3 linked regions of the Saccharomyces cerevisiae S288C genome follow. Changing the gene in region 3 together with the main gene of any one other region gives a genetic interaction. Each region holds a gene or a part of one and is shown on either strand. Other genes may lie near its edges.

What was found.
Region 1: mutations in BNA1 (region 3) and FRE2 together harm fitness more than expected from each alone (negative genetic interaction), as found in Saccharomyces cerevisiae (one large-scale study listed by BioGRID).
Region 2: mutations in BNA1 (region 3) and ECM23 together harm fitness more than expected from each alone (negative genetic interaction), as found in Saccharomyces cerevisiae (one large-scale study listed by BioGRID).

The regions. Positions count from the first base shown.
Region 1 is NC_001143.9:6,927-13,091, forward strand, and holds FRE2 (ferric/cupric-chelate reductase), read right to left. Parts: upstream 4,301-6,165; coding exon 2,165-4,300; downstream 1-2,164. Other genes in the region: MCH2 (Mch2p), read left to right, coding at 1-602. UniProt on the Saccharomyces cerevisiae protein: Metalloreductase responsible for reducing extracellular iron and copper prior to import. Catalyzes the reductive uptake of Fe(3+)-salts and Fe(3+) bound to catecholate or hydroxamate siderophores.
Region 2 is NC_001148.4:509,259-513,828, reverse strand, and holds ECM23 (Ecm23p), read right to left. Parts: upstream 2,729-4,570; coding exon 2,165-2,728; downstream 1-2,164. Other genes in the region: SUMO protease ULP1, read left to right, coding at 1-1,516; ssDNA endodeoxyribonuclease RAD1, read right to left, coding at 3,830-4,570. UniProt on the Saccharomyces cerevisiae protein: Involved in morphogenesis. May be involved in cell wall organization and biogenesis.
Region 3 is NC_001142.9:469,121-475,114, forward strand, and holds BNA1 (3-hydroxyanthranilate 3,4-dioxygenase), read right to left. Parts: upstream 2,552-5,994; coding exon 2,018-2,551; downstream 1-2,017. Other genes in the region: REC107 (Rec107p), read right to left, coding at 1-63, 144-459; U4/U6-U5 snRNP complex subunit LSM8, read left to right, coding at 664-993; methylthioribulose 1-phosphate dehydratase MDE1, read right to left, coding at 1,110-1,844; YJR026W (gag protein), read left to right, coding at 3,640-4,962.

The DNA of each region.
Region 1 (6,165 bases), on a different chromosome or scaffold from region 3:
TTACCGTTAGTTTAGGTTATACTAGTAAGCAAGGCTCATACGTATCGTGCATGGTGAGTGTCGGCTCTCTGCTGGGACGACCAATTGTGGGTCACATTGCTGATAAATATGGATCACTAACAGTTGGCATGATATTGCACCTTGTCATGGCCATCCTTTGTTGGGCCATGTGGATACCTTGTAAAAATTTGGCCACTGCGATAGCTTTTGGATTATTGGTTGGTTCTATTATGGGAACAATTTGGCCAACAATTGCTTCAATTGTTACACGCATTGTTGGTCTTCAAAAGCTTCCTGGTACCTTTGGTAGTACCTGGATTTTTATGGCGGCTTTTGCCTTAGTTGCCCCCATAATCGGTCTGGAACTTCGTTCAACTGATACGAATGGAAACGATTATTATCGTACAGCAATATTCGTGGGTTTTGCGTACTTTGGTGTTAGTTTATGCCAATGGCTATTGAGAGGGTTTATAATAGCTCGAGATGAGATTGCTGTGCGTGAAGCCTATTCAGCTGACCAAAATGAATTGCATTTAAACGTTAAGTTATCACATATGAGTAAATGTCTTTTTCGTTATAAACAATTACCTAGGAGAGTCTAAAGGTCACTTTTATTTCACACTGTAGATAAGAAGGGGATAGAGTTGCCAGAAAATTTTTTGCTTTATCAGCTTTTTAGATTTGTCTTCTCGTTTTATAAATAATGATAATTTAGTACAATAATAGATAATAAAAACATTTTTTTTTGCAAATTGAAAGCTTAACTGGTTTTTTAAAAGAAAATATTAGTGACCTTCTACCGACTAAAATCTTCCACTAAATCCCCAGTAGAAACATAAGATAAGGTTGAAACTTTTTTAGGGCGATTATATTTTTAGTCCTATACATGTTTGATGGCATACTTTTTAAGGAAGATTTATGAAGCTATGTTCCACATAGGTTTATGTGCTATTGATATATACTATAAATAAAACGCTCTACCCAAGAAATGAAACATTTTTTAAACTTTTGTCATCAGCACAAAAATATGCGGATTTACGCGTTTGTCATTCCTATAAACCTTAACCTTAACGCGAAACCATATTTCGCTACCTAATGTTGGTTCGGTGCATTTTGAGAAAAGGAACTAGGTTCAGATATCATGCATCGAATCTATTATCTTCCAACCGAACTTTTACAAACGTTTAGACCGAGCGTTATTGACTGAATTAAGAGCAAGTTTTTACACGTGTGACTCTGGCACATTAGAGCTGTTTGAGAATCTAAAGTCTTGCTGTCTAAGGACCAAAAATAATGTATTTCGAGGTCATAGCTAAGAATCTCATTGTTCTTCAGCACTTGCTAATCACATATCTATTTCTAAGTACAAGATGATAGTTAACAACTAATAATGAATAAACCAGGTAAAAAAAAAAAAAGAAAAAGCTGTAAAAGACGACAACGTTGGCGTCGCGAAAATATTAATAGAACCATATGTTGGATAATGTAGCCTCTATTATACACTTATCCCGATTACATTGTTTTAGCGACGGTAATCATCTTTTTATCCGGCACTCTGAATCAAACTCTATCTTTAAGTATCCTATATGCATGAGTTATGTCGATTATATCGAAGACTCGGTGTGTGATATTACTCCACAGTACAAAAACAGGAATACAGAGAAAATTGAAAAGATATATGAACGGATGGTATGGTAAATAAAATAACAGCCATTATAAAGCTTGTGGTAAATTTTCCAGGACGGAAGTTAGCTTATGCAGTTTTGTTTATCTTCCTTGCATCTGTGTATAATACTGAAACACGCAATTAACGTTTCATAAAATTTGCCTGAGGGCCGTATAAAAATTCAGTGACCATTGTTCACACTTTAAATATAGCCAAATTGCCAAGAAAGGGTTTCATTGCAGGTTTATCGAAATATTAACTCTTTAAATACAGGGACTATACAGAGCTAACTTCTTAAGAAAAAAAACCATGCGACACACTACGACTTTCACAAATTCCATAAAAGAGATATTTAAGATTTAGATAAAATATCAAAGGACTGCTGTACTCTGCTTCAATTACCTCCTTACCATAAAGTTATAGGCAGCTTTCTCCATCGACATACTAAAATTTGGATAGGTATTATTAATGAAATGACTAGTTTTAAGTAAAAAATGATCACCAGCATTGATACTCTTCAAAGTACTCAATGGCTTTTGCAGACTTATCTAAAACTATTTTTGCGGTTTCATTCCTCACTTTGTCAACAAAAATAGGAGGTCCACAGCAAACCACAGATAATGAGCCACTCAATTCAGCCGCTTCATGTAGAAGTTCCTTAACATTTGGTCGCCCGCAATGGAAAACAACACCATCAAAACCAAGTGGATTGGCAGACTTTTCTAAAGTAGTTGCCACAACAGTGCCTTTTTCATCAGCCTTCTCATCCTGTTGAGAAATATCTAAACTATCACTAGGGGTTAATGATGGGACTTCCATTGTGTTGTAGATGTGAAGCTGTACATTCAGATTTTCTAAACACATCAACTCCGGCTTATAAGCCTCGAGTACGTCGAATCCTCTAACTGCAATCACTAATTTTACAGATTGTTTTCCAGCAGCCGCTGACGTCTTTCCAAGTTTAATTGCATGTGCAATAGGTCCAGGCAAACCGGTACCTCCAGTGAGTAACAATACATTATTGTAATTATTGACCGGAGATGAAGAACCATATGGACCTTCTATAGCTAGTCTCATAGATGTCTTACCTCCATTGCGACACACATACTTTTTGACAAGTCTTGTTACTCCCTTTTTTTCTTTCAGGATAATAACCAGTTCACCATTCTTGCTTACTGAATCCAAAACAGTAAATGGATGTGACTGCCAGAAGTACAGTGGATGTAAAAACGAAACGAAAACATATTGCCCAGGTTTGGCCCTCCATGGCCTTGCCGGTTTTTTAACTGTTAAACGAATGAGATCATCCCCGATTAGTTGTAGGGAAGCTTTGGGGAAACCAAAATAAGAAGCTTTGATAATTCTAATAATCCGGTCAACGATCCAAATCGCAATAGCAGTGTATATCCACTCAATGCCACTTAAACTAACAACATGCTCCCAACATGCATAAAAGAACATTGCACCAAGGACGATATGAAGAAAAAGAAAGGCTTCATAAAAATACTTCCTGAATACTGCAAAGGAAAAGAAAACCATTGTGCCAGCTAAACAAAGTGCTGCCACCCCGAATTGCCAATATAATCGGTTTTTACTTGTTGCCCAAGTTTTATTCGCTACCGTATAACTAGTATATGCAGAGCCATGAATCATAGCATCCAAAAACATCATTCTTCCCAACCATTTGTGAAACATAATGAAGGAAGTATATTTAACCCCAGAAATATACTCGAGAAAGTTGTTTCTTCCCGCGAAAAGAACTATTAATGGAAAGTGTGCGAATGCGAGTACACCACTTCTGTCTGCCACATATCGAGCAACTTGAACTCTACGAGACTTGAATATTATATTTTCAGGATCGTATTCATAACCGTATGCCAAAAAAACGGTATGAAGCACGAGATATCCAAGAATAATGATACCCTCTAATCTTGTAGGTAAATATCCTGTGAATATTCTAAAATAAGAGAAATCTGACGCATGTTTGCTTCCAATGGTAGGTAGAGTGAGGTATCCCCTTACATATCCCACAAGCTTTTGCTTCAATAGAACAGTTTTAAAGGGAGTGTAATTCATGCAATGAAGAACGCCTGCAAAAGCCATGATAGCGACAAAATAAGCACATATAATGCCACCATATATGTTTCCGACATCTAAGTTAGCATAGAAACCATGCAATGCATGATAGTAGGCTTTTCTTAACTGTGTATCCATTTCAACTGGATATGTTAGGTTTGCACTGCCTTTGACATAGGGCGTCATATGCCTCGTTCCGTTGTTTAGAACGTCATAAAACTCAGAATTAGTCATGTTCTGAAGAGCATCACTATAACTTGCACAGTTTTTTTTGATGGTACTAAATGTTTTTTCTAAGGTTTTATTCGAATAACCTTTTTCATCCAACGTTTCATAGATACAATACAGCATTGATTGAAACGCTGGTTCGTAAGAACATACTGGTGATGAACGCTTAGACTTGCTGGTATACTCCCAAGTAACTTTTTGAAAAATCCTCGTGCAGGCATTAGTGACAAGCAAGGGCACCTTGTTACGAATAACTGTCTTTGCAGGTGATGCTCTTGCTCCTGACAGGCAGAAAAGCAAAATAGCGCTCAAGATGGACGTCCAATGCATTATATTCGTTGGGTTTCATAAGCTTTGGATAAAAAAGACTTTATTACAACTGTAGCAAAAAATCATGTTCATTTTTTGCGACTTATATATTTAGTGGCAAATTAATGATACCTTGCAATAACCGAATTTAGAGTATGTTGTCCAAGAAAGGAGGGATTTTGTTCATCAGAAAAGAATTCAGAAAAGCAAGGAAACAGTACTATCGTTTAGAATGTAGAATGATAGGTTGCTTGCTAATTCTATTATGGCACGAATGATACACCCATATTTTCAACAAAATCAATACCCACTAGCATCATTGAGCCAACTATTTGTCAATGCAACCATTACCGGTACTTCATCCTGATTTAACGAGTCTACTTTTTTATCACGTCAAAATTTACTTGTTTTCCTGTAAACCCGAAATAAAGGCAAAAAAGACCTGGGTGCAATTACGAATAAATGTACAATAATCATCCTGTTTGCATAGTAAACTTCCAGTTAGAGTCACACAACGCAATGAATTTTGACAGTTTTCTGTGCGATATTCTTTGGTAAACGTAAAGAACAGGCAACTTTTGGTACAATGGATTCTAGCCCATATGGTTCATTTCTGGTGCATTCGCAAAGTCAGTATTTGTCTAGCTGTGTTTTCTGGCTGAGAGACATTATGATGTTATTCATTGTTATGGATATCTCTGTAGCTCATGCTGCTTATTTCTCCCTAAAAAAGTTTTTTCTCTCGAATACATTCTTGACCATTTCATAGTGAAATTCTTGTACTTATTTAAAACCAAAAATGGAAGTATTCATACATCCCCCTATCAAAAACACTCAATAAGTTTCGAATTATTCGTTCGTCTAAACAGTGTCCAATACTCAAAGGGGTATTCAAGACGGCACAAAATCAGCATCTTCCCTTATCCGTGTTCCAGAAATACCACGCTAAGGTTTTTCCTCCTACAATCCATAAAATCATTAAGGAGGCAGCTTGAAAAATCTTGAAATTCAAAAGAGTTATCTTGGGCTAATCGAAATTAACGATAACCAGAGTAGAATATTCAAGATCACAGCTCCACCTTAGTTTCGAGGTTGCTCTCAATGGTCTAGCTTAGTCATGCTTTTTGTTAAACAAATCTTGCCTTTTCTGATATTCTATAGTGTGGTCCAATCCAGATATTGGCGCATCCTAAACCAATTATAGTTCACTTATGAAGGGCAAATGAACACTCTTACCAGTTTCACAAATAATTAGTACTAGCTAGGCGGTCAAACTGACTAGCTTATTATAATATTATCGATGTAACATTTTTCCATAGTGAGGGAGGAAAATAAACCTTAAAAAAATATGCAAGGATTCTAGATTTCAGGCTAGTCTTCAACCACTTTGCACTTCCGGATTAAAGGCTTTTATAGAAAACATCTTGGTTTGGGACTATATTGCTAGGTGAAAATTTCAAAATTGTACAAAAGATCATTCTTGTTTTTTTGCCTCATTAGCTGATACAATGCGGAACTACATGGCGCTCTTTTATAAGCATCTACTATGGTACATTCTAAGTATGTGGATCTTGGTTAACACATAGACATTTTTTAACTTCTTGATATCGGTTCCGCTAAATTTGCTGATTATATTTGTTCACTAGGCCAGATCATAATGCCTGTAATATTGAGTACTTAATATCGATACTTGATATCCGAACAGTAAACGTTTGTCCGTAGTCATCGTGACTGTTGACGTATTAACTGCAAGAAATGATGGAAAAAATTTAGGTATATTTGCAGATGAAAACTCTAGAACACTGCCGTTGAAGAAAGAATGGCTTCAGCCGTCATGCTGTCTATCTGTTTGTAAACTTTTGGAAGTTTTACATATTTTGCACTAT
Region 2 (4,570 bases), on a different chromosome or scaffold from region 3:
TGGTTCTGAAGTAGAAGCAAGTGGTAACAGCGACGTTGAGAGCAGAAGTTCTGGAAGTAGGAGCAGTGACGTACCATATGGTCTACGTGAAAATTATTCCTCGGATACAAGAAAACACAAATTCGATACGTCGACGTGGGCCTTACCAAATAAAAGGAGAAGAATCGAAAGTGAAGGTGTGGGGACACCTTCAACCTCACCAATCAGCTCTTTGGCTTCTCAAAAAAGCAATTGTGATAGTGACAATAGCATAACTTTTTCGAGAGATCCTTTTGGTTGGAATAAGTGGAAAACAAGTGCTATTGGTTCTAACTCAGAAAATAACACTTCTGATCAGAAAAATAGCTACGACAGGCGACAGTATGGGACAGCCTTTATTAGAAAGAAAAAAGTTGCAAAACAGAACATTAACAATACTAAACTGGTGTCGAGAGCACAATCTGAGGAAGTAACATATTTACGACAAATATTCAACGGAGAATATAAAGTTCCAAAAATATTAAAAGAAGAAAGAGAAAGACAGTTAAAATTAATGGATATGGATAAGGAAAAAGACACTGGCTTAAAAAAGTCTATAATCGACTTAACTGAAAAGATCAAAACAATTTTAATTGAGAACAACAAGAACAGACTACAGACAAGAAATGAAAATGATGATGATTTAGTATTTGTTAAAGAAAAAAAGATATCTTCTTTGGAAAGGAAACATAAGGATTACTTAAATCAAAAGTTGAAGTTTGATAGATCTATATTAGAGTTTGAGAAAGACTTCAAAAGATATAACGAAATTTTAAATGAAAGAAAGAAGATTCAAGAAGATCTTAAAAAAAAGAAAGAACAATTGGCCAAGAAGAAACTTGTTCCTGAATTAAATGAAAAAGACGATGACCAAGTACAAAAAGCTTTGGCATCTAGAGAAAATACTCAGTTAATGAATAGAGATAATATAGAGATAACAGTACGTGATTTTAAGACCTTGGCACCACGAAGATGGCTAAATGACACTATCATTGAGTTTTTTATGAAATACATTGAAAAATCTACCCCTAATACAGTGGCGTTTAATTCATTTTTCTATACCAATTTATCAGAAAGGGGTTATCAAGGCGTCCGGAGGTGGATGAAGAGAAAGAAGACACAAATTGATAAACTTGATAAAATCTTTACACCAATAAATTTGAACCAATCCCACTGGGCGTTGGGCATAATTGATTTAAAAAAGAAAACTATAGGTTACGTAGATTCATTATCGAATGGTCCAAATGCTATGAGTTTCGCTATACTGACTGACTTGCAAAAATATGTTATGGAGGAAAGTAAGCATACAATAGGAGAAGACTTTGATTTGATTCATTTAGATTGTCCGCAGCAACCAAATGGCTACGACTGTGGAATATATGTTTGTATGAATACTCTCTATGGAAGTGCAGATGCGCCATTGGATTTTGATTATAAAGATGCGATTAGGATGAGAAGATTTATTGCCCATTTGATTTTAACCGACGCTTTAAAATAGTTATTCTTTTATAATATACAATTATTATACATAAGTAGAAATATTCAGATCATTGGATATGGAATAAAGTTCAATAAACCACTTGAAAATAAATCATAAGAATAGCATAAGCACCAGCTCAATTTAGATGTCTGTACAAAAAGTAATATATTTTAGAGATGAGCAGGCAGAACCACACATTAGTGACGATTGTCTTCGACCTTATGTGGAATCTTAAGCTTTAACATATAAGTAAAAATTTTTATTTTCAACAAAAGATTAGAACGAAATGAAATTCCTTAATTGAACCTTCTCTTGGATATCAATCTATTGGCAATCATTCCTAGAGAATATATTATTGAGTGAAAACTGTAGATACGTGCTAAGCGGTAAAGCCCTTATGAACATCGTCACACTATCTCTATATTGAGCCTCCGTAAATTTCGAATCATTTGAAATTCATTTTTCCTGGTAGGAAGATACTTGATAGTGGAGGATAAGTAAAGTAAATTGTGGTTATCATTTATTTGGTGGTAAAGTACCTTTTTTATGTTTTTTTTGAAGATGGAAATTCAGGCATTTTAAAAAAATAGAAAGCTCGAAATATCTCAAAAAACATAAAAATAGAGGAAGAATCCGCTGAATATACCATCTTTACAAACTACTTAACTATTTATTTTTAAATATAAAATTTTTAGTACCATCATCGGAGGATTGTTGCGATCGTATTTTTTTCTCCATTTTTTTCCTATATGCTATGCCACATCGACTACATAGCTCAACATTTCCATTAGGTCCACTTCTCCACTGAGAAGTCCAGGTGTCACCACAAGTGGCGCACTCTTTTGGTTGACCGTTGGGGAGTATAGTTTGTTTCTTCCTACTTTTAGGTCTATATCCTGCTAAAGATTTCTTTCCATTGGATGATATTGGTAGTGATGAAAAAGATGGGGCTGGTAGAATAGAGGGGTTATGCAAAGGCCCACCAAGACGACTTTCTTCCTTCAATTTTGGACTCAGCGCACTATTTAAGCTTTTGATCTTCTGTTCAAGAATATCTGCTCTTTTTAAATCTGGCGTGACACCAGATTTCGGGATACTGGCTACTGAACAGCAATAATTGGGATTAGCGGCAATGAACAGAACCATTTGTACAAAACGATCGAAGTGGAATTTCGTTCTACGACCAGAGCTACTAGCGCCGCTTGTTCCCTGCTCTTTGTTATATAACATAATATGATTTAAAAGTTCTATCACTCAGCACTACAACGCAGTATTTTTATTCTAGATGACCAGTATAGCAAATATTGTTACCCTTGAGATATTGGTAATTTAACCAAATCTCAAGTCATAAATGCCTCCCTTTTAAGTTTACATAGGCAGTGGACAGATTGGTACATCATATTAAAGGAAATAATGAACGCTAAAAAGAATGCCTTTTACTGACACATTCACTTTTAATACGAAAACGGATTTTGTGGTATATGACGTTGAGCACTGCGTGGTTTTCTGTGAATCCGCCGTGCCTAAAATGGACCCTTAATTATTTAACAATAGACCGGCCCGAATAATGTTAACATGAAGGGAAAAGTGCACATAACTGCAAACTACTTTGGTAGGTTGATTATCAGAGCTAAGCCATCCTACAGGTAATGATTTCCAAATTTTTTCTTAAGTAAAAAAGTTCAGAAAATAGAAGAAATATAAAATTTAAAAGGAATTACTGTTTACGAGACACATCGTTCATTCTTGGATAAATATACAAATCTACTTAAGAAAAAGCTTTCCTTATTTGTTGTTTCCTACTTTGTACCATTTGGTTTATTATATATCGTTGTGGAAAAGAAACTTGGTCTCTTGAATCTTAGTCGCAAAAGAAAATTTTTACCCACATAGGTAATGGAAAAGAGACAAAATTATTTCTGGACCTTATTCAAGAGGATGAATTTGAAGCATTTATTAATAATGAATATGATTGTGCGCTTCTAAGAAAAACTCACGGGTAATTTGGCTTAAAATGATTCACTAATGCCACGCTCAGATTCCACCAAATACGGTTAAAAAATCAAAAATAAATGAACTTCATTTGGTCATTTTTACTGCTAAAAAGTGGAAGATGAATTGCGGATGATATGAAAAATTTGAGTGAATAAACTATGAACGCGAAAAAAAGAATATATATGCGGAATAAAATATCAAAGTAAAAGATTCAAAGAGCATGTCTAACTTATAACATATACGGTCGAAGTCACCAAATGAATATTGTTATTTTCACTATAGTTAATCGCATTTTATACTGATGTTTTAACAGGGTTCGTTAAATTAAACAATATTTTACACAGGTGCTTCAGGAACATCATTATGATGATCATGTAAAGCGTTATCATCAGTGGTCTTACCAGGAGATTCAAGATTTTCATCTGTTGACTCTTGTTCTTGTTCTTCTTTTTCTGTTCTCAAGAAGTAGTATATTCTATCCGTCAAATCTTCGTCATTAATAAGTTCATTAATCTCATTCCATGAAAGCTTTTGAAGCTTATTGAAGCTCTTGATCTTTTTGCGGAGATTGAAATAATCAATTTTTGACACTCCAGGAACATTCAACAGTCTCTTGAATTTAGACTCGTTATCACCATCCTTCAGGCCCTTTGCAGTGCTATTAAAATCCGATCTAACTTTATTCGTTCCCAATATAACTGCATTACTAGGGTCAGGTTGCTCACGTCCTAATTTCAACTCTAGGATTATATTTACAGTTTGCAGGGGTGAGGAAGACCATATAATCTTTAAAGTGGGAAACCGCAATACTAATTTGGCTAGTTTTAGCTGAATTTCATCCTGGGATAACTTGCTTGATATAGGATGAACAGTTGATATGTCTTTATTCTTATAATTTCTACGTTCACTAAAAGGTTCTAAAGAAAACGACTGTCCTTCATCAAACTCAATCAATAGTGTCGGATATGCATAGTATTTTAACATTTTTTTACATTGGTTGGCTAATCTGTTATTCTGTAATGACCCAATTAAGTCAGAAATCGATTTTCTTTCGAGACAAATATCAGGAGTTATCAC
Region 3 (5,994 bases):
ACACTTTGTCCAGTTGGTTTTCAATCTGGGAAGCCAAATCCTTTATTAAGGTTTTCACGTTTCCTATACTACAGTTGTTAGTAAATGTGTTTTGGAAGAAAATGAATAAAAAACTTGAGGGTATGCACTGTGTTGGTACGAACCGTTCGTAGCAGCATCTTGTTCCAGTAGCTGGTTAAACTTGTTTAGCGATTTACATAATGTCTTAGAATTTTCATTTAAAACTTTAATTAGCTTGTCAGAGTTTTCCCTCAGCTCCATACTCTCCAATTCCAGTTTACCTGCCCATTCCAGTATCTGCTTGTCCGATTCCTCTAAAGCGCCTGCATTCGCTACTTTCCCACTGTGGGAGAATATAGATCTGAACGGTGATGATGTTTCTGTAATCATCAACGAGTGTTCAGAATTAGCCTCTGAAACATCTGTAGATATCTCGTCTGTTCTACCTCTAGCGACCATTTTACTAAATGTTTCTACACGTCTGCAGTATCCTTGTTTTGCTTGTTTTCCTTCTTTCTGTTCTTGTTGATTTTCCCTTTAAGTCCTGAAAATACTATCATGGCGTAAAGGGAAAAAAAAAAACTAATCTTACGTGGTTCTTATAAGATGGACCAGCAAGCTGCATACAGTACACCATACAAGAAGAACACACTATCGTGCACCATGTCAGCCACCTTGAAAGACTACTTAAATAAAAGAGTTGTTATAATCAAAGTTGACGGCGAATGCCTCATAGCAAGCCTAAACGGCTTCGACAAAAATACTAATCTATTCATAACCAATGTTTTCAACCGCATAAGCAAGGAATTCATCTGCAAGGCACAGTTACTTCGAGGCAGCGAGATTGCTCTTGTTGGCCTCATAGATGCAGAAAATGATGACAGTCTAGCTCCTATAGACGAAAAGAAGGTCCCAATGCTAAAGGACACCAAGAATAAAATCGAAAATGAGCATGTAATATGGGAAAAAGTGTACGAATCAAAGACAAAATAATATAGTTGCAATAATAGTAATAATAATAATAATAATAATAATAATAATAATAATAATAATAATAATACCATGTATAGAAGTATATAAATCATACAATAAATTTAAGCATTAACCCGTCACGGACTGGCCATCTTCAGATGCTTCTTCTCTTCGCCAATGCCACAGTCGGGAGGAATCCCCATTTGGTACATCTTTATGGCCAGCTCCATCAAATAATCGATGGCTTCGTTGAAAATTTTGGCCTTATCGATTGTCGGACCCCAAACAAAAATGCCATGTCTCCTCACAATTACGGCGCATGTGTCTGGATAATCTTTAAAAGTCTTGTGCAAGTCATCGATCAACTCGTCCTCATGCGCCATGTTTTCAATGATGGGAATCTTCAGCGTATCAAAAAACGATAGCGCCATGGGTTTCTTGGTCACAGGGTCCACCTTTCCGCTTGGAATTGCTTTGATTTGTTCGATGTTAGCAATCCTGAACTCATCGCCAAATAGCAAGGAGCATATCACAGCATTTTGGGAGTGTGTATGTATTATAGCACCTGCATTTTTCTTTTGGTAGCACGCTAAGAACAATGGAGTACATGCGCTTGGCTTGTAAAGCTTGGGAGAGCGCAAATACTCTAATGTCTGAGCGTCCATGACAAACAAATCCTCAGGTATCATCTTCTCCTTCTGCACCCCAGATGGGGCGAGATAATAATAATTCGTGTTAGGATCTTTTATTGAAATCCCACCTCCAGTTCCGGTGCACCAATTATTATGAAAAAACTGCTTGCATAGCGTGCAAATGAGATTTGCTGGATGGCACGGATCATCTGAATGTATCAGAACATCTTGTGAAGACATAGTCGTTCACTGGCTCCCCTTGTTAGTTCAGTGCTTAAAAACGTTACATATCTTGATGAACAGCTAGCTGCTTTGATCAAGAGAAAAAAAAAAAAAATTGGCACCGCATCTTAGTGCCGCAATCTTACGTAACAAGAGAGCTATAAAAGTACAACTAACAACTCTTCTAATACTTAATTAGATTGAGGGCGTGCGTAGTTTAACGTCTTGCAATGGAAACATGTCCTCTTTTCGACATCATTTTCAAAATCTAAAATGGCTTCTTTCACTTGGGTACCTAAGTCTAACATTTGCAGTTCACTCTCGTGGACCACTTGGCGACAATGAGAACAGTACCACCTTATCTTATCGTTTTCTCCCCCAGGCCTATCTTGTTCCACAACAATACCCACAGTATCAGCAAACCGAACAGGACTGTGAGGAACATTTCCTGGCAATAAATATGAATCGCCTTCATTGATGATGATATCAATGAACTTTGGTTCAGCGTCTGTCTCATCCACAACCTTTAAAAGCATAGATCCTTTTTTTTGATAGAACCATTCGGGAGTTGGATTGATGTGATAACCGGTTCTTTCATTAGGCCCACCGACAATCATCACAGTGAATCCCCCTTTATGTAAGCAATAATTATTCACCGGTGGTTTCAAAAGGCCTTCGTTCTCCTTCAACCATTTGTCGATATTAATTGGTGTAGTATTAAACATTTTTTTCGATTTTTTTGGTAAATGTATGCTATTTCAGTTACTTGTAGACTGTCGTGAAAAGAATAAAGAAAGAATCTTTTACGTCCGTTTTTTTACTTTGCCGAATATGTTTCAGTGACTCACAATTTATCCTGACGCCGTCACAAAGGCAGCCATTCCATTGCAATAACGACACTCTGAATATTCACGAACGTTCACCAGACATTTGGAGGCAGCGTTCTAAATGCCGATACCCGTTCAGGAGTACAGGTGTCAGTGACAGAAAAATAATGGCACCGTTGACGTCGAAAATACATCCGCGCAAATTTTGACAGGCTATTTTGGCAGCGCAATCAAAGAATAAACTTGGTATAGTAAGGAAGCCAGTTACTGTACGCATGAATTACGGTAGCTTTTTTTATTTTATTTATTTTTTTTTTTTTTGGACAAATAGAAAAATTTTTATTATTATGTAAGATTATTGAAGTAAAAATACAATTGGACGAATCTAGTTAGATTGCCAAGATGTGTTAAAAGGCAAGATTAACTTATGAACATGATCTACAACGTCCTGGTTTTTAAATTCGAGTAAATACGCCTCCTTTTTATCTGTGAATGACAGTCCTGTTCTCCCAAGTCTTTTTACATCATGGAGACGGGAGTTATACTCTCTCGGGTACAAGGTTCCTTCAGCATCAGAACAGATCACAAACTTTATCGCAACAACAATTCCTTTATATTCCTGGGAAAATATGTCGGTATAGCCTACTCGAGACGGCTTCCAAACATCAGCTTTCGTTTTAACATGTTGCTGTTGGAATAAAAATCCACTATCGTCTATCAACTAATAGTTATATTATCAATATATTATCATATACGGTGTTAAGATGATGACATAAGTTATGAGAAGCTGTCATCGAAGTTAGAGGAAGCTGAAACGCAAGGATTGATAATGTAATAGGATCAATGAATATAAACATATAAAACGGAATGAGGAATAATCGTAATATTAGTATGTAGAAATATAGATTCCATTTTGAGGATTCCTATATCCTCGAGGAGAACTTCTAGTATATTCTGTATACCTAATATTATAGCCTTTATCAACAATGGAATCCCAACAATTATCTCAACATTCACATATTTCTCATGGTAGCGCCTGTGCTTCGGTTACTTCTAAGGAAGTCCACACAAATCAAGATCCGTTAGACGTTTCAGCTTCCAAAACAGAAGAATGTGAGAAGGCTTCCACTAAGGCTAACTCTCAACAGACAACAACACCTGCTTCATCAGCTGTTCCAGAGAACCCCCATCATGCCTCTCCTCAACCTGCTTCAGTACCACCTCCACAGAATGGGCCGTACCCACAGCAGTGCATGATGACCCAAAACCAAGCCAATCCATCTGGTTGGTCATTTTACGGACACCCATCTATGATTCCGTATACACCTTATCAAATGTCGCCTATGTACTTTCCACCTGGGCCACAATCACAGTTTCCGCAGTATCCATCATCAGTTGGAACGCCTCTGAGCACTCCATCACCTGAGTCAGGTAATACATTTACTGATTCATCCTCAGCGGACTCTGATATGACATCCACTAAAAAATATGTCAGACCACCACCAATGTTAACCTCACCTAATGACTTTCCAAATTGGGTTAAAACATACATCAAATTTTTACAAAACTCGAATCTCGGTGGTATTATTCCGACAGTAAACGGAAAACCCGTACGTCAGATCACTGATGATGAACTCACCTTCTTGTATAACACTTTTCAAATATTTGCTCCCTCTCAATTCCTACCTACCTGGGTCAAAGACATCCTATCCGTTGATTATACGGATATCATGAAAATTCTTTCCAAAAGTATTGAAAAAATGCAATCTGATACCCAAGAGGCAAACGACATTGTGACCCTGGCAAATTTGCAATATAATGGCAGTACACCTGCAGATGCATTTGAAACAAAAGTCACAAACATTATCGACAGACTGAACAATAATGGCATTCATATCAATAACAAGGTCGCATGCCAATTAATTATGAGAGGTCTATCTGGCGAATATAAATTTTTACGCTACACACGTCATCGACATCTAAATATGACAGTCGCTGAACTGTTCTTAGATATCCATGCTATTTATGAAGAACAACAGGGATCGAGAAACAGCAAACCTAATTACAGGAGAAATCTGAGTGATGAGAAGAATGATTCTCGCAGCTATACGAATACAACCAAACCCAAAGTTATAGCTCGGAATCCTCAAAAAACAAATAATTCGAAATCGAAAACAGCCAGGGCTCACAATGTATCCACATCTAATAACTCTCCCAGCACGGACAACGATTCCATCAGTAAATCAACTACTGAACCGATTCAATTGAACAATAAGCACGACCTTCACCTTAGGCCAGGAACTTACTGAATCTACGGTAAATCACACTAATCATTCTGATGATGAACTCCCTGGACACCTCCTTCTCGATTCAGGAGCATCACGAACCCTTATAAGATCTGCTCATCACATACACTCAGCATCATCTAATCCTGACATAAACGTAGTTGATGCTCAAAAAAGAAATATACCAATTAACGCTATTGGTGACCTACAATTTCACTTCCAGGACAACACCAAAACATCAATAAAGGTATTGCACACTCCTAACATAGCCTATGACTTACTCAGTTTGAATGAATTGGCTGCAGTAGATATCACAGCATGCTTTACCAAAAACGTCTTAGAACGATCTGACGGCACTGTACTTGCACCTATCGTACAATATGGAGACTTTTACTGGGTATCTAAAAGGTACTTGCTTCCATCAAATATCTCCGTACCCACCATCAATAATGTCCATACAAGTGAAAGTACACGCAAATATCCTTATCCTTTCATTCATCGAATGCTTGCGCATGCCAATGCACAGACAATTCGATACTCACTTAAAAATAACACCATCACGTATTTTAACGAATCAGATGTCGACTGGTCTAGTGCTATTGACTATCAATGTCCTGATTGTTTAATCGGCAAAAGCACCAAACACAGACATATCAAAGGTTCACGACTAAAATACCAAAATTCATACGAACCCTTTCAATACCTACATACTGACATATTTGGTCCAGTTCACAACCTACCAAAAAGTGCACCATCCTATTTCATCTCATTTACTGATGAGACAACAAAATTCCGTTGGGTTTATCCATTACACGACCGTCGCGAGGACTCTATCCTCGATGTTTTTACTACGATACTAGCTTTTATTAAGAACCAGTTTCAGGCCAGTGTCTTGGTTATACAAATGGACCGTGGTTCTGAGTATACTAACAGAACTCTCCATAAATTCCTTGAAAAAAATGGTATAACTCCATGCTATACAACCACAGCGGATTCCCGAGCACATGGAGTCGCTGAACGGCTCAACCGTACCTTATTAGATGACTGCCGTACTCA